2 linked regions of the Caenorhabditis elegans genome follow. The protein of the gene in region 1 purifies or fractionates together with the protein of each later gene. This does not show direct contact. Each region holds a gene or a part of one and is shown on either strand. Other genes may lie near its edges.

What was found.
Region 2: the proteins of chs-1 (region 1) and F18C12.4 fractionate together in Caenorhabditis elegans (co-fractionation; one large-scale study listed by BioGRID). This does not show direct contact.

Annotation. Positions count from the first base shown.
Region 1 is NC_003279.8:7,551,937-7,561,499, reverse strand, and holds chs-1 (Chitin synthase chs-1), read right to left. Parts: upstream 6,646-9,563; 5' UTR 6,500-6,645; coding exon 6,392-6,499; intron 6,344-6,391; coding exon 6,202-6,343; intron 6,158-6,201; coding exon 5,556-6,157; intron 5,512-5,555; coding exon 5,420-5,511; intron 5,372-5,419; coding exon 5,024-5,371; intron 4,976-5,023; coding exon 3,504-4,975; intron 3,458-3,503; coding exon 3,075-3,457; intron 3,030-3,074; coding exon 2,627-3,029; intron 2,574-2,626; coding exon 2,319-2,573; intron 2,208-2,318; coding exon 2,044-2,207; 3' UTR 1,871-2,043; downstream 1-1,870. Other genes in the region: T25G3.3 (60S ribosomal export protein NMD3), read right to left, coding at 1-182, 229-443, 896-1,291, 1,342-1,469, 1,515-1,656; T25G3.1 (DUF4604 domain-containing protein), read right to left, coding at 7,020-7,349, 7,426-7,521, 7,597-7,641. UniProt on the Caenorhabditis elegans protein: Essential for the embryonic synthesis of chitin, a component of the eggshell.
Region 2 is NC_003279.8:8,058,969-8,063,579, reverse strand, and holds F18C12.4 (Small integral membrane protein 29), read left to right. Parts: upstream 1-1,612; 5' UTR 1,613-1,786; coding exon 1,787-1,803; intron 1,804-1,966; coding exon 1,967-2,066; intron 2,067-2,114; coding exon 2,115-2,216; intron 2,217-2,320; coding exon 2,321-2,620; intron 2,621-2,668; coding exon 2,669-2,737; 3' UTR 2,738-2,791; downstream 2,792-4,611. Other genes in the region: che-3 (Cytoplasmic dynein 2 heavy chain 1), read left to right, coding at 1-29, 479-861, 1,075-1,521; K04G2.10 (uncharacterized protein), read right to left, coding at 3,102-3,776.

The sequences.
Region 1 (9,563 bases):
CAGACATTCCAACTTGATCACTTCTCACCAACCATACATCTGCCAATTCGTGTTTCTTACTCACATATCCGTGGCCTGCCTTTCTCTCAAAGTTATTTACAGGTTCCACATCGAGAACGTAGAATTCTGTCAATTGTTTTGGTCCGCAAAGAGAATCGAAAGGCTCTCTCCAGAAATTAGTTCTGTAATATGCCAATTTTCATTTCTTTTCTAGATATTTGTACTTACGCTTGAACATCAACCAACTGCAAATTGTTGGGGTCGATGAGAGTGATGACATTCGAGACACGAAGACAAAGAACGATTTGTGACATATTTCCGTATTGTTGAGCCTGTTTCTTTGGGAGACAAACGATATTGTCTCTGCAGATTGGTACGATTTCAACGCAGAAAGTGTGTTTGTAATCGTATGTGTTGTTTTTGGTATCGTGAGAGACAAGTTCCTGAAATAAGAAAATGTCATAACTGATGGTGAATATAATATGGTGTTTTGCGAACTGACTCGTAAGAATTCAGAGAATAATTTGAAAAAGGGGTGCGCGGCAATTCTACAAAATGATACAGTTTGACATGTTTTTCTAATATGTTTCATCAAAATGTAATGGTAAAATACATAAAAAATAATTGCTTTGCCGGAAAAAATCAGATAAATTATCAACAAAAAAAACAATTCGGGTAGTTTTCAACGTTCAGTAATTTTTTGAGCACTTTCAGTTGTTAATAAAAAGTTATTTTCAGATAAATCAAAACATTTTTTTTACATTTTACTGAAAAATATTGGGAGAGCATGCCCCTCTGGCTCATTTCGTAAAAATGCCGGTCGGCAATTGCTATGCACCCCTGATTTGTAGGCAAACTGATGTCAATTATTTCAGCATCATCGACTTTCACAAACCTGCGCGTAGTGATATTTGCATGGAAGTACAGTCATCAAAAAGTCGACAAATTTTCTCGCTTCTTGTTGTTTCGCAAAGTAAAAATCAATTCCAGTCGGAACAGGCTTGACTCCAGTACATTCTTTGTGAGCGGAGTGTTTGAGGAGAAGTTGTTCCAAATAGAAAAGAGTCTTCTTGAACTCTGCACGTTGACGAACTTGCACACAAGCACGCCAGAAATCTTTGGCTTCAGCACGACGACAATCATCGCACAATTGACTGTGAACGGTAAACTCAACGACGACAGCTTGTTGTAGGATTGTATTAGTGAATACTTCCTTTTGAATTGTGATTTTCACTTTGATACGCTTGGAGTGAGCTTCTGTCCATACAAAGCACGCATCGGTCAGACGAACCTAAATTTTGGATTTTATTGAAAACTGAAGTGATTCCGTGAATGATTTACTTTCGTTAGCATTGGCTTCAACTTTTTCAAGCAAATCGAAAGAAGTTCTTTGGATTCCAGTTCTGCTCTCATCCATGCACTTGGTGGAACAAAGTAACGATCACAAAATTTGCACATGTAAATTGTGCCTGAAATTTGAAAAATTATTATTTCAACAATTTTAGAAAACTCACATTGCCGAGTGATTCCCTCGGTAATATCTACCCTCGAGCGAAGGCATCCACTGCACATATTCGCTGGATTTGGTTCAATCGCAACACCGCATTCGCAGCAAGCGATTAGACCAACTGTCGGTTTTATGTCCAGGGATTGCATTTTGACTGAAAAAAAATATATAATTACTGCAAAATCAAAGCGATCTGCTTGCAAATTCTTCAAAACTACGAATATTGAGGATATCAAAACATTTTTTTAGGAAGAATGGAGAAAAATTGCGAAAGAAGAATGACCCTGCAAACGTGCTCGCCCGAACTTTTCAAGTAAGACATTTGAGCGGATAATTCAAATAAAATATCCAAGCAGGAACAATATAATCCCTTAAAGTTTCTCATTTAAAAAGAGGGTGAAAAGTTTCCTCTTCTTTATTTTAGTTACAAATTCATTCAACAGAAGTTAATAAAGGCGAGAGATGAGGTAAGAGCATGCAATAATAATAATACTAATTGGTATGCAATAAATAAAAAATAAAAATCAATTTTAGCACTATTCAGTTGTGGAAAGTGCACTTCTTTGCATTCGCTTTGCGAGACGAGCCTTTTGAAGTTTGTAGAGAACATTGCCGGTATCGGATTCCTCTCCGCGATGCCTTGTATAGCCGTCGGCAGCGTGTCCAGTACTGACACCGAGAGAATTAATCATTAGACGAGCTGAAAATTATATCTTTAGTTTTTGCGAAAATTTAAAATCATTTAATGACAATTATTCATCAATAATTTTGAGTTGTTTCGTCTTTAAACTTAGTTTTAAAAAGAAAATACCATTATTCATAATCCTCTCATCATCATTCTTTGTATTTATCACTGGTGAAACTCCGTATTCGTACAAATTTTTCACTTCTTGGAAAGCTCCTATCATAGTGTTAAGTCGATGGAGAAGCATTCCGAGAGTTTGAACAAAAAGAATAATTAGAAGGAAAACAACAATTCCCATTCCAAGTGGATCTATTTTTAATGGTTCATCGGTTTCCTCGTATTGTCCAGTCATCTCATTCATTTTCGTCCATCGGAAGTTTTCTAGAAAAAAAAAACAAATTTTTTGAATTGACCATAAAGGTAATATTGCTTACTGATTGGCGAGAACTTGATGCTGAGCACATTTTTGTGTTTCTGAATCAAAAAGATGGCAAGAGCAAGAAGAGAATTAACGAGAAGAATAGTGAAAGCAATCTGATTTCGTAGAGAAGCCAATCCTTCGGCGACGGCTTTCATTTCAGCTGGCGTCGTCTTGATCGGTTTCAGATATGCATTGATGAGCTCGTTCCAGAAAACCTTTTCCGCACTTTTCAGTTTTCCTCGTTCACAAACTTTCAAGCTATGACTTGTCATCCACACATAACGGTTTGCCTTCTGAATCTCTTTTTGAGTCTTCTCTACGTTCTCTTCAATCGGAAAATCTGCAGTTTGAGTTTCTTCTTCACGTTTCTCCTTCTCCTCTGTTGCATCGAGAATTTTCTTCACGTCGGCACCACTCTGAAAATAAATTATTAATTTCACATTTCTAAAGTTAAAGATAACCTCAATACTTCTCAAGGCTAGCTCCATTCTCTGCATTTTCTTTTCCATTTTCTCTCGTCTCTCTTCATGTTCCTTCTTCTCCCGACAACTGATTAATCTGAATCCCTTTTTCACAATATCAATCACTCTGTCTATAAATTGTTCCATAGGCGCTTTTTTCGTCTTTTGTCCCGTTGCCTTAGCGACAGCTTCACGAGTTCCCCACGTGATAACGTTGAGATTGATGAGCGAATATAAAGTGAGGAACACATATGTAGATGGAATCATGAGGAAGAATACGACACCATGGATAATATTCGTGAATTCTTTTGGATGAAGACATGCAGCAAAGAAGAAGATTCCGACCATTGTGACAATGAAGAGAGATGTAGGAGCGAGAACAGCTGAAAATTGTCGTAATCAGGATGAAGGGATAATGTAAAAACGCACTCTCGAGAACAATTTGACTGCTGGTAGCGACTAACACAGCCAACATTACGAACGCGTACGCAATCGACATGTACTTGGCATAGATAAGTTGAATATTCGACTCTGTTGTGAAACAAAGAACAATGAAAAATCCTATCGGAATTCCATTATAGAGCATCACATCAGATCCTCGAAGTTCAAAAGCAGCAACTTGGGCGAATACGAGCATAGTGAATATAATGGCAGGTCCGAGCATTGAGAAGAAGATCACAAGGAATTGATAGGCGATGTAGGCATATGAAATGGCGTCATTATTTTCTGAAGCTCTCTTGTAATCCATCAGAAGATCTACTGTATTAGCAATCGACGAAGGAGTCCAGCGTCTACGTTGATTGAAAAATTCTTCGAATCCTTCCGGAGCGTATGTTTCAGCATCAGACGCAGCGGCGTATTCGATACGATATCCTTGTTTCAAAAGCAATGTACTTAACCATCTGTCTTCTCCTTGATCATATTGGACGTAGTGACGTGGTTCGGAAGCGGTCTTAGTATACTTGTGCATGATATTGTCATCCATCAATGCAGATGCACGGAACAATGAGAAACATCCAGGCGCACAAAGGACACAACCGAAAACATGTTCAGCAGCCTTTTGAAACCAATGAGCAATAGCGTACTCAAACTTCTGATACCAAACCATTATACCATTTCCAATTGGGTGAATTCTTCCACAAGCACATCCAATATCACTTTTCGCATTCATCAAGTGGAGAAGACGAAGAAGTGCGTCAGGTTCGAACTTAGAATCTCCATCAATAGCCAGAATAAACGTGTTGTCAGCCATCTGTTGTCTATCTTCAATAGAAAGTGGGCAATCCATGATACGATGACCAAGAAGGTAATACATGTACATAACTTGGCTCCATCGCTTTTTGTGTCGAATCATCTTTTTATCCTTCAAATGTACGAAGAGTAAAGTTCCTGATGGAAGTTTTACAACAAGACGACCACCGTAAGGTGTATTGACGAGAATTCTTGTTTCCATCTTTCCTTCTTCATTTAATCTTTCACCAGTCATTTCATTGAGCAAGTCAAAGAACATGTTGAAGTATTCATTTGGCTGCCTTTTCTCTATTCCATCTTCTTCGACATCTTCCCATGCGTCATCGAAGAAAATGTGACCTTCCAATCGGTATCGAAGTTCATTAGCTTTCTTGTTGTTCATACGTGTCGCATGATCCACATCAAGCTTCAGAATACTACGAAGTACTTGTCGCATCTCGGTTTCTGTTTCATGCCACATGGTTGCACATCCATAAACCGTAGACACTCTGTCAACTTCATCGTTTCGAATTCGTAGCTCATCATTCTCATCCGATATGTCTTCTTCTTCGGTAAGCATAGTTTTTTCTTGCCGATTCAGTGAATGTTGGAATACCACAAGAGATTGCTCGATGCAGAGGCCATTACAGACAGGAGGCATTGAAGAGATGCTAGAAACATAATTATTGAAATATGAAAACAAAATTGCCTCAACTTACATTTCTTCGTTCGTATCAAAGTATCGTTGTCTAACCAATCTCCATCCTCTATAGCATCCTACCAACAACCAAATAAGGCAAATGTAAAAGTCCGGAGATGCGATTCCTCGTGCGCTTTGGAACCATTGATCACACACCCAATGAAGACCAAATCTAGCCAATCGTCGAGCTATTGAACATGTGGGTGATTGGCAAGCATAACGGACGTATCCATAAGCGATGAGAGGAGCAATGGAGAGTGGGTGCACGAAAGAGAACGGATGCAGATCAAGAGCAGCCAAGAAGCGTGAAATCCCTCGCATGACAAAATGGAGAACAATGATTCCGGTGGCTAGTAGAAGAAGCCTCCTGTAATTAGGGAATTAGTATAAATGCTTCAGTTTTTGATATCCTCACGTGTGGGGTTGCCGTGTACTGAAACTAAAGAATGCCTTGACAAAATGAGATGAATTAAGCTTCTTGTGATCGTTAATATAGACAGCAGATACCTGTAAGTACAATTTTTCTTCCAGAAAAAATCAATTATGCTCACCAGAACTGAAACTGTACAAACGATGCGCATGAGGGAAACAATAAGTTTCGTGGTGGTGTTCATCTTCCGTACAGCATATTTGAGCCTGTATAACTCATCAAATGAAGTACCAGAATGCGTTGTGTCAATCCAAGATTCCCAAAAGCCAGCTGAAGTGCAAATTACTCCAATCGGAAGTGCAATTATAGCTGTGAACTTGTTATCAAATAGCGCCCAAACATAACAGCTACTCATGAGAACCAAGAACATAATGACATGTGGAATTGCAACGAAGCATCGGCCGAGACGATTTCGGAATGATCTTCCTGTTCTAGCAGCAGAAACCATTGCTACCAAAGATCTTTGCAACACAGCCACAAGTGGGAAGCATGCGCTGAGAACAAGGCATCTGGCGAGATCCAATTGAGGGAAAACGTGGAAGCTCAGAACGGCGAGTCCGATTGCTCGAAGAGATTCCAGAACAACCACTGACTTGACGAGTTGACCACATTGTCCTTTCCACATATCTATGCCAGAACGTATCAGATTGATAGTATCAGGGAAACACTGAATCAATAGTAGCGACAGATATATTCCCGCAGTTGTTGTAGATGTACGTCGAACTGAAAAAAAAATAATTACGACGTTTTGAGGAAATGAATCTTACCGGCGGCTTTCGTGCATTTCCTGGCGAATTTCCCAATGAGATGAGCTCGAGGGACGATGTTAGTAGCCATGATCAATACGATGAGTTTCGAAAAAACTGATCCAAGTGTTAATACTATATTACAAAGTGCGAAAAGAAGTAGCTGAAAATAATTTTTTAAAGTCATTTTTAGAAATTATCGTTTTATTACCTTTGTCGCCTGTAAAACTGTGACCATCCATGGCGAAAGGGTCGGTCCATCAGTGGCAGATCTTTTGTGCGATCGAAACGCATTCCAATAGTTTTCCCCATCGTTCATCCTGGTAACGAACGAAGAGGAAATGGCGAAAAACGGGTGATCACACCCAGACTCGAGGTGAATTCGCGCTTGCTGTTTCGTTGATTGATAAACGTAGTTTGAACCAGAGCTGAAATCCAAATAAAAAGGTCAAATCGACTGAAAATGTTCTCGAAATGGGACTGTTTACAAAAGAAAAATTTCGCGCGAAAAAAGTGAATTTCGAAGCAACCTCCAGCTTTCGCTGCAAGACCCACTCGTAACCCTACATGTCTCTTGAAGTAGTACGGTAGTCATTTTTTATAAAAACAGGTCTACTCAGTCTTCATAAGCGTTAAATCATTGGAGAAGGGATTCATTTTTTCCTGAATGTCATTTAGCTTTTAATTCTCAAAAATGTTTTTTAAGCTAATTCACTTTTTGTTTATTATTGCTAATAAAATTTGAGAGAAGTAATACGTGTAGAAAGAGAGATCAATACGCTTTATTCAGCGAAGGTAATAATTTTAGATTCAATAAAACAAGATAAAAACGGAAAAAATTAATATTCTTCTTCATCTTCATCGTTAAACGATAAGAGACCTTTTTGAACTTTTGGCAAGGGAGCATTCTTCTTCTTCTTCTTTTCTTCTTCGTCAGCTGCAGCACTATCTCCTGCTCGTTTTGTTGGTTTCTTGAAAGTGATTTTCCCTTCGGCAATCAATTTGTCACCTTCTTCCTTTTTCTTTTCTTCCAGCTCTTTTTCAAGCTCTTCTTTCGTCAAATCAGTCTTTTCGTTTAACACAACCACCTGTGGTCTATCTTCTTCCTTCATCCGCATTAAATCAGTTTCATCGTCGTCAAAATCGGCTGGGCCGGCCTCATCTTCGTACTGAAATTAAAAATAAAAAGAAAAGTTGGACGATTCTTATCAAATTTCCCGTTTACAGAGGAAATCAGAATTTAACCTTGTCCTCGAGCTTAGCTGGTTCCTTGTATCCCAATTTTGCTTTCATTGCTTTAATAAAAGCGGGCTCTTCTTGTTCGACGAAATGAAGATTTGCCTGAAAATGTCTTTTCAGAAATTGATTATATTCATATGAATGAACAAATGAACCATTTATATTTTCAATTGTTACCTTGTCTTTGTAAGACATTGAAGATGATTGTCCTCGCTTTGACATGTTCCGTAGCTGAAAAATGTACATATTCCTAATTTTTATCTAATTTTTTCGTAAGATATTTGGTTTAAAAATCAAAAAATATTTCTTATTTAAAAAATAATGATGTCGGCAAGTTGGCGTCAAATGCGGTGTTTCACCGTACACCATTGCAATGCAGCTTGAATGCGTATTGCGCGATATATTTGACGCGCAAAACATCCCGTAGCAAAAACTACAGTAATTCTGTGAATGACTACTGTAGCACTGGTGTCGATTTACGGAAATATTTTATTGGTCGATAAAATATTGGAACAAAACACAGAAAAAATGACAAAGCGGAACGAGAAAACTAAAGAAAATTTGGTATGTCGAAAATTCTAACATTAACTCGTTTTGAAAATCGAGTCCGTAAATCGACAACAGAGTCACAGTAGTCGTTTAAAGAATTATTGTAGTTCTCGCTATGAGATATTTTGCGCGTCAAATATGCTGTGCATTAAGCATTCTCAGAATTTCGTGGTCTCGTAATAAAAGTTGGCTTGCAATTTGCGAACATTGAATAAGATAAATCCTTCCTAATTAATTATTTACATAATTTCTCTGTAAAATTTCTTAATTTTCCCATAAAATGTTATTTAGGTATGGTTCTGTAGTAAGATTTGACTGTTATTCCATTCACCAACATGTGACACCCGACTTTTTTCTTTCCTGTAAAGTCAGAAAATGTTTATCTATTCGGCTCACAATTGCGTTTTCCTCCTCTCCTCCCGTCTCATGATATATTTTGACTCTAATTCTTCAACGTATTGCTCCCTTGTTTGTATTGGTTGAAAAAAAAACAAAAGTAGAAAATATGTAACATTAGAGAAGCAGAGAAAATAAAATGAAATTCGAGCGGAGTCTTCATGAATATTCGATGCCTTCGTCATGTTTGAAGATGATCCAAATAATTTTTGAGACAGTTTATCTTTCTTTGCGCTGTTCTTTGAAACATTAGAACATTTTTATCAGTTGTTTTTAATTGAAGTATGAAATCAAGAAATCATCATATGCCCTAAAAGTCACATAAACTTTTCCATGACAGCAGTAATTTTGGCAATGTTTCAATCAATTTCAAACAAGAGGAATTAAGTTATCGTCATTAAAACATAAAAGTTGATTTGCTGAGTTTCCAAGTTCAATCGGTTTGCATTTTTATCCATAAGTCATGTGATCTTGATCAGTTCCGTATTTCTTATCCCTCGCTCGTCGGAAATCTCTCACACTTTTGTCAATTATTATTCTGGGCCCGAGTCAATTTTTCAGTGTCTCTTCCGCAACAAGTCAACACTTTTTCTCGTTCTCTCTCTCGTTTTCCCTCCTTCTTCTCGACCACGTTACGAATTGTTCGTGCCCCGGGACGTTCCGAAATGACGACTGCTTGCATGAATTAGGGTGTATGTAGAGTTTCTAGTCAATCTGTTCAAAACCCTTTAGTCTTCAATAAAACTGATCTCATCATCTTTTCTTTTTTTTGTGAATCCGGATCGTATCAAAAGTAAATCATCCATAATTTTATTTATCTCCATTCTGCGTTGAAAGAGATTTTGGCTACAGTATGGTTGTCCATTTGTCATTAATGTTCCATTTTACATAGTTTACACTTACACGTAAGGGTTGAGTAGCACCAGTCTAAATGCACTTAAAATGATCCAAAACGACCGAATATCATAATAAAACAGTCCAATAAATTTCTAGATTTTTCATAATTTCCGGCCAACTCTTTGGCAATTGCCAAAATGTTGAAAATAAGAGCTTTTGAGGAAATCCAAAGCAATATCTCGCATGTTCAGACCGATACAATGTTGTATTACGAATAAATAAAAAAAATCAATGTATAAAATATGTAGGGAAAAGAAACGTTTTTTGGACAACTTCCAAAATTATAATGAGTGGCAAAAAAT
Region 2 (4,611 bases), 510 kb from region 1:
TCGAACAATTTCATCTATTCGAACTCTTGGTAAGAAGATCAGATTACTCGGGGTTTGAAGGTGGAGCAGCGTGTGTGGAATTTTTTGCGTAATATTACAAAAACAGGCTCAATAAATACAATAAAAAAGAAGAGTAAAACATTTTTATGATTTTTTTAAATTTTTCAAAAGATAAAAAAGGCTGAAATGCTGTGGAATTCCCGCGTTTATTATCGCCGAAAAATGTATAAAAAATAATTTTTAAAAATTAAGAAAAAAGCAAATTCAAAAATAATTCATCCCTTTTGATTAATGGATATAGTCATGGAAATATTCGTCAAAAAATTAGAATTTTTTAAAAATTTTTACAGCTATATTCGGTATAGTGAGACCATTTTCTGTCATTTCGGGTATCCACTGACGCTACTCCGCATTCACAAAGTTTTTGAATGTTTTATTGAATTTATTACAAATTTGCACAAGTATTGAACTATTTCAGCACTCGGTGATACAAAGAACGCCTTGTCCGACCAATCAGATAAAATTTCACAAATAGTGTCGCTTTGGAAGAAGCTCTGCCAATCTGATGATCTACCAAAAAGAGAACTTCCGACAGCAATCCGATCTGCTGATCCGATTTCCGAAGTCCTTTGTCTGGAAACTATAAACGCTCTTTCTCTTATAAAACAACTTCATCGAAGCATTGGTCACGTGGCAAAATCGATGAAAACCCCTTCGTTGGCTTCTCCAGCCGTTCAGAAAACTATTCAATCACTTGTATTTCAACAGACACCTGATGAATGGGATAGCATGTGGGCGGGACCAAGTGATCCTGCAGATTATTTAAATGTTGTTGTTAAGAAGACACGTGGAACATTGCAGGTAACAGTTTTGAAAATAAAAAATAAAAAAACATGACTTTATTGCTGTCAACTTAAAGTTGGATTTTTCATTCTTTGGCAATATGATTTGTATTTCTTTTGTGGTATTTCAAATTTTAAAACAGTTTTGATTTTTTTAAAACTAAATCCCCATTCCCCATACTCCACATTTAAACAAACTTACAATTTACACAATAAATATACATTTCTTCAGCTGTTCGAATCGTCAAAATCATCTTCTCTGCTCTCATCCCCAATTGATTTTTCGGACTTGTTCTATCCAAACATCTTTTTAAATGCACTCCGTCAAACAACATCTCGTCAAATAAAAATTCCATTAGATCAACTGATCTTATCATCAGCATGGACTCCTTCTCAACTACCAGCTAAACAATGTGTTCAAGTTCAAGGGCTCTTGCTTCAAGGAGCAACGTTTGATTCATTTCTTCGTGAAACTACAGTATCCAGTGCTGCTTATTCTCAAGCTCCTATAGTTTTTCTTGCATGGACATCTGAAAGTTCTTCAACGATTACTGGAGAGCAGATTCAGGTACCAGTGTATAGTTCAAGTGAACGATCTGATTTGATATGCTCGGTTAATATGCCATGTCGTGGAGCCGATCAATGGAATATTGCAGCTGTTGCATTGTTTTTGAGATGATTTTAATTTTTTAACCGTGATAAAGTTTTAATAAATATTATTTGGAGATTGAGTGATTGTTTTATTAATTGATTAGAATATATTTCTAACTACAACAGTAATACAATACACCAAACTTGCGGCGCTTTGGAAATCGAGTCCCTGCCTTCTCCAGAAGTCAAGAGAATACAAATAATTATTTAGACGTAACCACGTAGAATTTGTAACATTGATAACGAAAATTTCAAAAATCCAGCATCATTATTTTTTTCAATAGAAGACAACAATGGAATGTGCAATTTTGTAAGTTTTGTGCTCAATCTCAGTTCTATGTGCAACTATGTGAACAAGTTATTTAAGCTTGCTCTACATATCAAATTTGTGGGGCGTTTTCTGGGCGAGAGGCGGGCGGACATCGTGCCCTCTGAAATAAATAGATCAATCTCAAGAATACTTTCCATTTTAGAGTATTATCTTGTATTCTATCAGTACGTCTCGCAGATGGATCTCCTGAAACCCAAATGGATTCATTGGCCGGTTATCAGAAAAGTGGAAAAGGTCCAACGGTGAGAAAATCGATGAATGTTAAAAATCAATTATTTAATACATCACAGGTAATCTTTATCAATCATTTTTACACATTACCAATGGAATCATATCCACACAAGATAAATGGACCGACAAAAGAAATTCCTCCAGATGAGCGCTTTTTGTTGGTTCGTTCCTTGTTATTTGGATGTTTAAAGCAATTTTATGATCATGAAGTGCCCAGTTTCAAATCTTCAAAATCCACAAAGTTTACTGAATCCAAAATTTTCAGCCCGACTACTTGACATACATGTATTGCATTTTTCTAACAATATTCTCAATTATCATTCTCCTCCATCTCCTTCGTCGTCGCCCAATTGATCATTTCACTGGATTAATGCATACACCATGGAATAAGGAAGAAGAATCGCAATTTGTCGAGATGAAAGATGCCTGGAAATCTGATTCCTCAAGACATTTCTTTTACAAGCATTGGACAAATCACGTGTCAACATCTCAGAAGCTTAGTGAAACATTCGAAAGAGATTTCGATCCAGTTCTTGAGGGAATGAGCGATAATGACTATGCAAAGGTAAGAACATAAATTAAATTAAATTTTCAATTTTATTTCATTTTTCAGAAAAAGAAATTGATTTTGGACATAATGCGATTAGTCAGAAGAAATGAACTCGTAGATGATGACAATTGATAGAACTTGTTAGAAATTACTTATTGGAATAAATAAAGTTTTCGTAACATTTAATGAATTTACCTAAATATGAAACCTGAGAACATTTATTTTTCAATACTGAGGGGCTTCCATAGCCATTGATTTTTTTGGGTGAATGAAAAGATTTAGCAAAACAATTTTCCAAGAAAACATTTAATTGTTTTTTAGATTATTTTAAAAGTTAAATTATTTTACCGAAATGGGCAAGTTTGTTGCTTTTATGAAGACTCCTGACTCCAAGGTTTTTCAATATAACGAAAAATAGTCATTACAGACTTTATTCGTAAAAAGCAAGAAAATAACATAAAGCATTGAAAAAAAAAGAGATTTTGAAGTTAGATTATTAGTTCTGGAAAATGAATTTATTATCGAGAACACCAGAAAGATTTTCCTTGTTTTCCTGCTTTTCCTCACTATTTACAGACTTCTCGACACATGAGGAGTCTTTCATTTCCAATTCCGATTGAAGAAGTGCCATTTCGAATTCCATCTTTTCAATTACTTTTTTCATCGAACCAATTTTCCGTTTATACTTCTCAATACTTTCTTTTTGTCGATCATCATTCTCTTCCATATATTTGACCATGTCTTGTTGATCCAATGCATAATCACGAAGCTTTTCATACTTTTCACTCCATTTTTGTTCAATAGCATCTTTCCATTCTTCTAATGGATATTCTTCTGGAGCTTCAACCTTTTTTCTCATTTCAATCATCAATTGATCGTTGATCTCCATCAACACTTTTACCATTGGATGGTCATGAATTGAATCTTGAGATTCTGTTGATCCTTCCTTTTCGACTTCCTGAATAGTCTTCATCTTCCGATTCTCACATCGACGCATTTGAACTTGTCTCTCCAAATCTTGAATTTGAAGTCTCATGGTGTTCTTCTCCACTTCATTACAAATGTTTGTCAGGTACCTCTCGTCCATCAACTCTTGAACTTTTCGAATTTGACGATTACATCCTGGGCAGTACATTTGATTCGAGCTTTGTGGTGGATTATAGCGTTGCATACTTCTTTTTAGTGTTGAGTTTCTGAAATAAATAAAAAATATAAAAATTAATGTGTTCCAAAAAAAATAAAAAATAAGGAAAACAAGAACAAAGATGGGTAATGTTTGATTGAGCACAGTAGCAGTCGATATATCGGAGACGAGCGTTTTCGTGTCGAGACCCAAAGCTGCAATCGATAATGTAGTGCTGTAACTAGCAAAAAGAATGGCATAGGAAAGGAGAACATCTGCTCCGATGACATCATTTCTCTCTTGCTATGAGATCGATATTATCTGGTTCCTCTCGCACCTGTTTATGACATTTACAAAGAAGTACCAATTTGGTAGATCAAAAAAGATTTCGAGAATGTTGGGACTGGAACAAAATTTTTTATAATATTAAGATTTTTAGTCGCCGACAATGGTTGCCCATTCCAACGTGCTATTCGATTTATGTTGGAGCAATCGACGGGCGAATTCGTGGTAGTACAGATTATATGCTTCATTTATCAAAGTTGTCTATGATTTATTGGATTGAAAGCAAAAGTTGGAGATTAGCTCAAAGTGAAAACTGCAGAATCAAATTGAACTCCGGCGAAATGCATGAAATATTAACTCTCAATTCAGTATTGCGGAAAACTGGTTGGAATCAGGAGTTGACAGATCTTTGAGACAAGAAAATGTGAGGGAATTTTCGCGTCTCCCGGTCATGTCCAGATTACAACAGTTTTCCGGGATGCTGAATTGATATGGAATCAGATAGAGCCGTCTTTATTTTTACTTCGTTTCTACTCGCTTTAGTTTTCAAAATGTTTCAGGTCAAGATCAATGGGACGAAGACGACTGAAGTAGGACG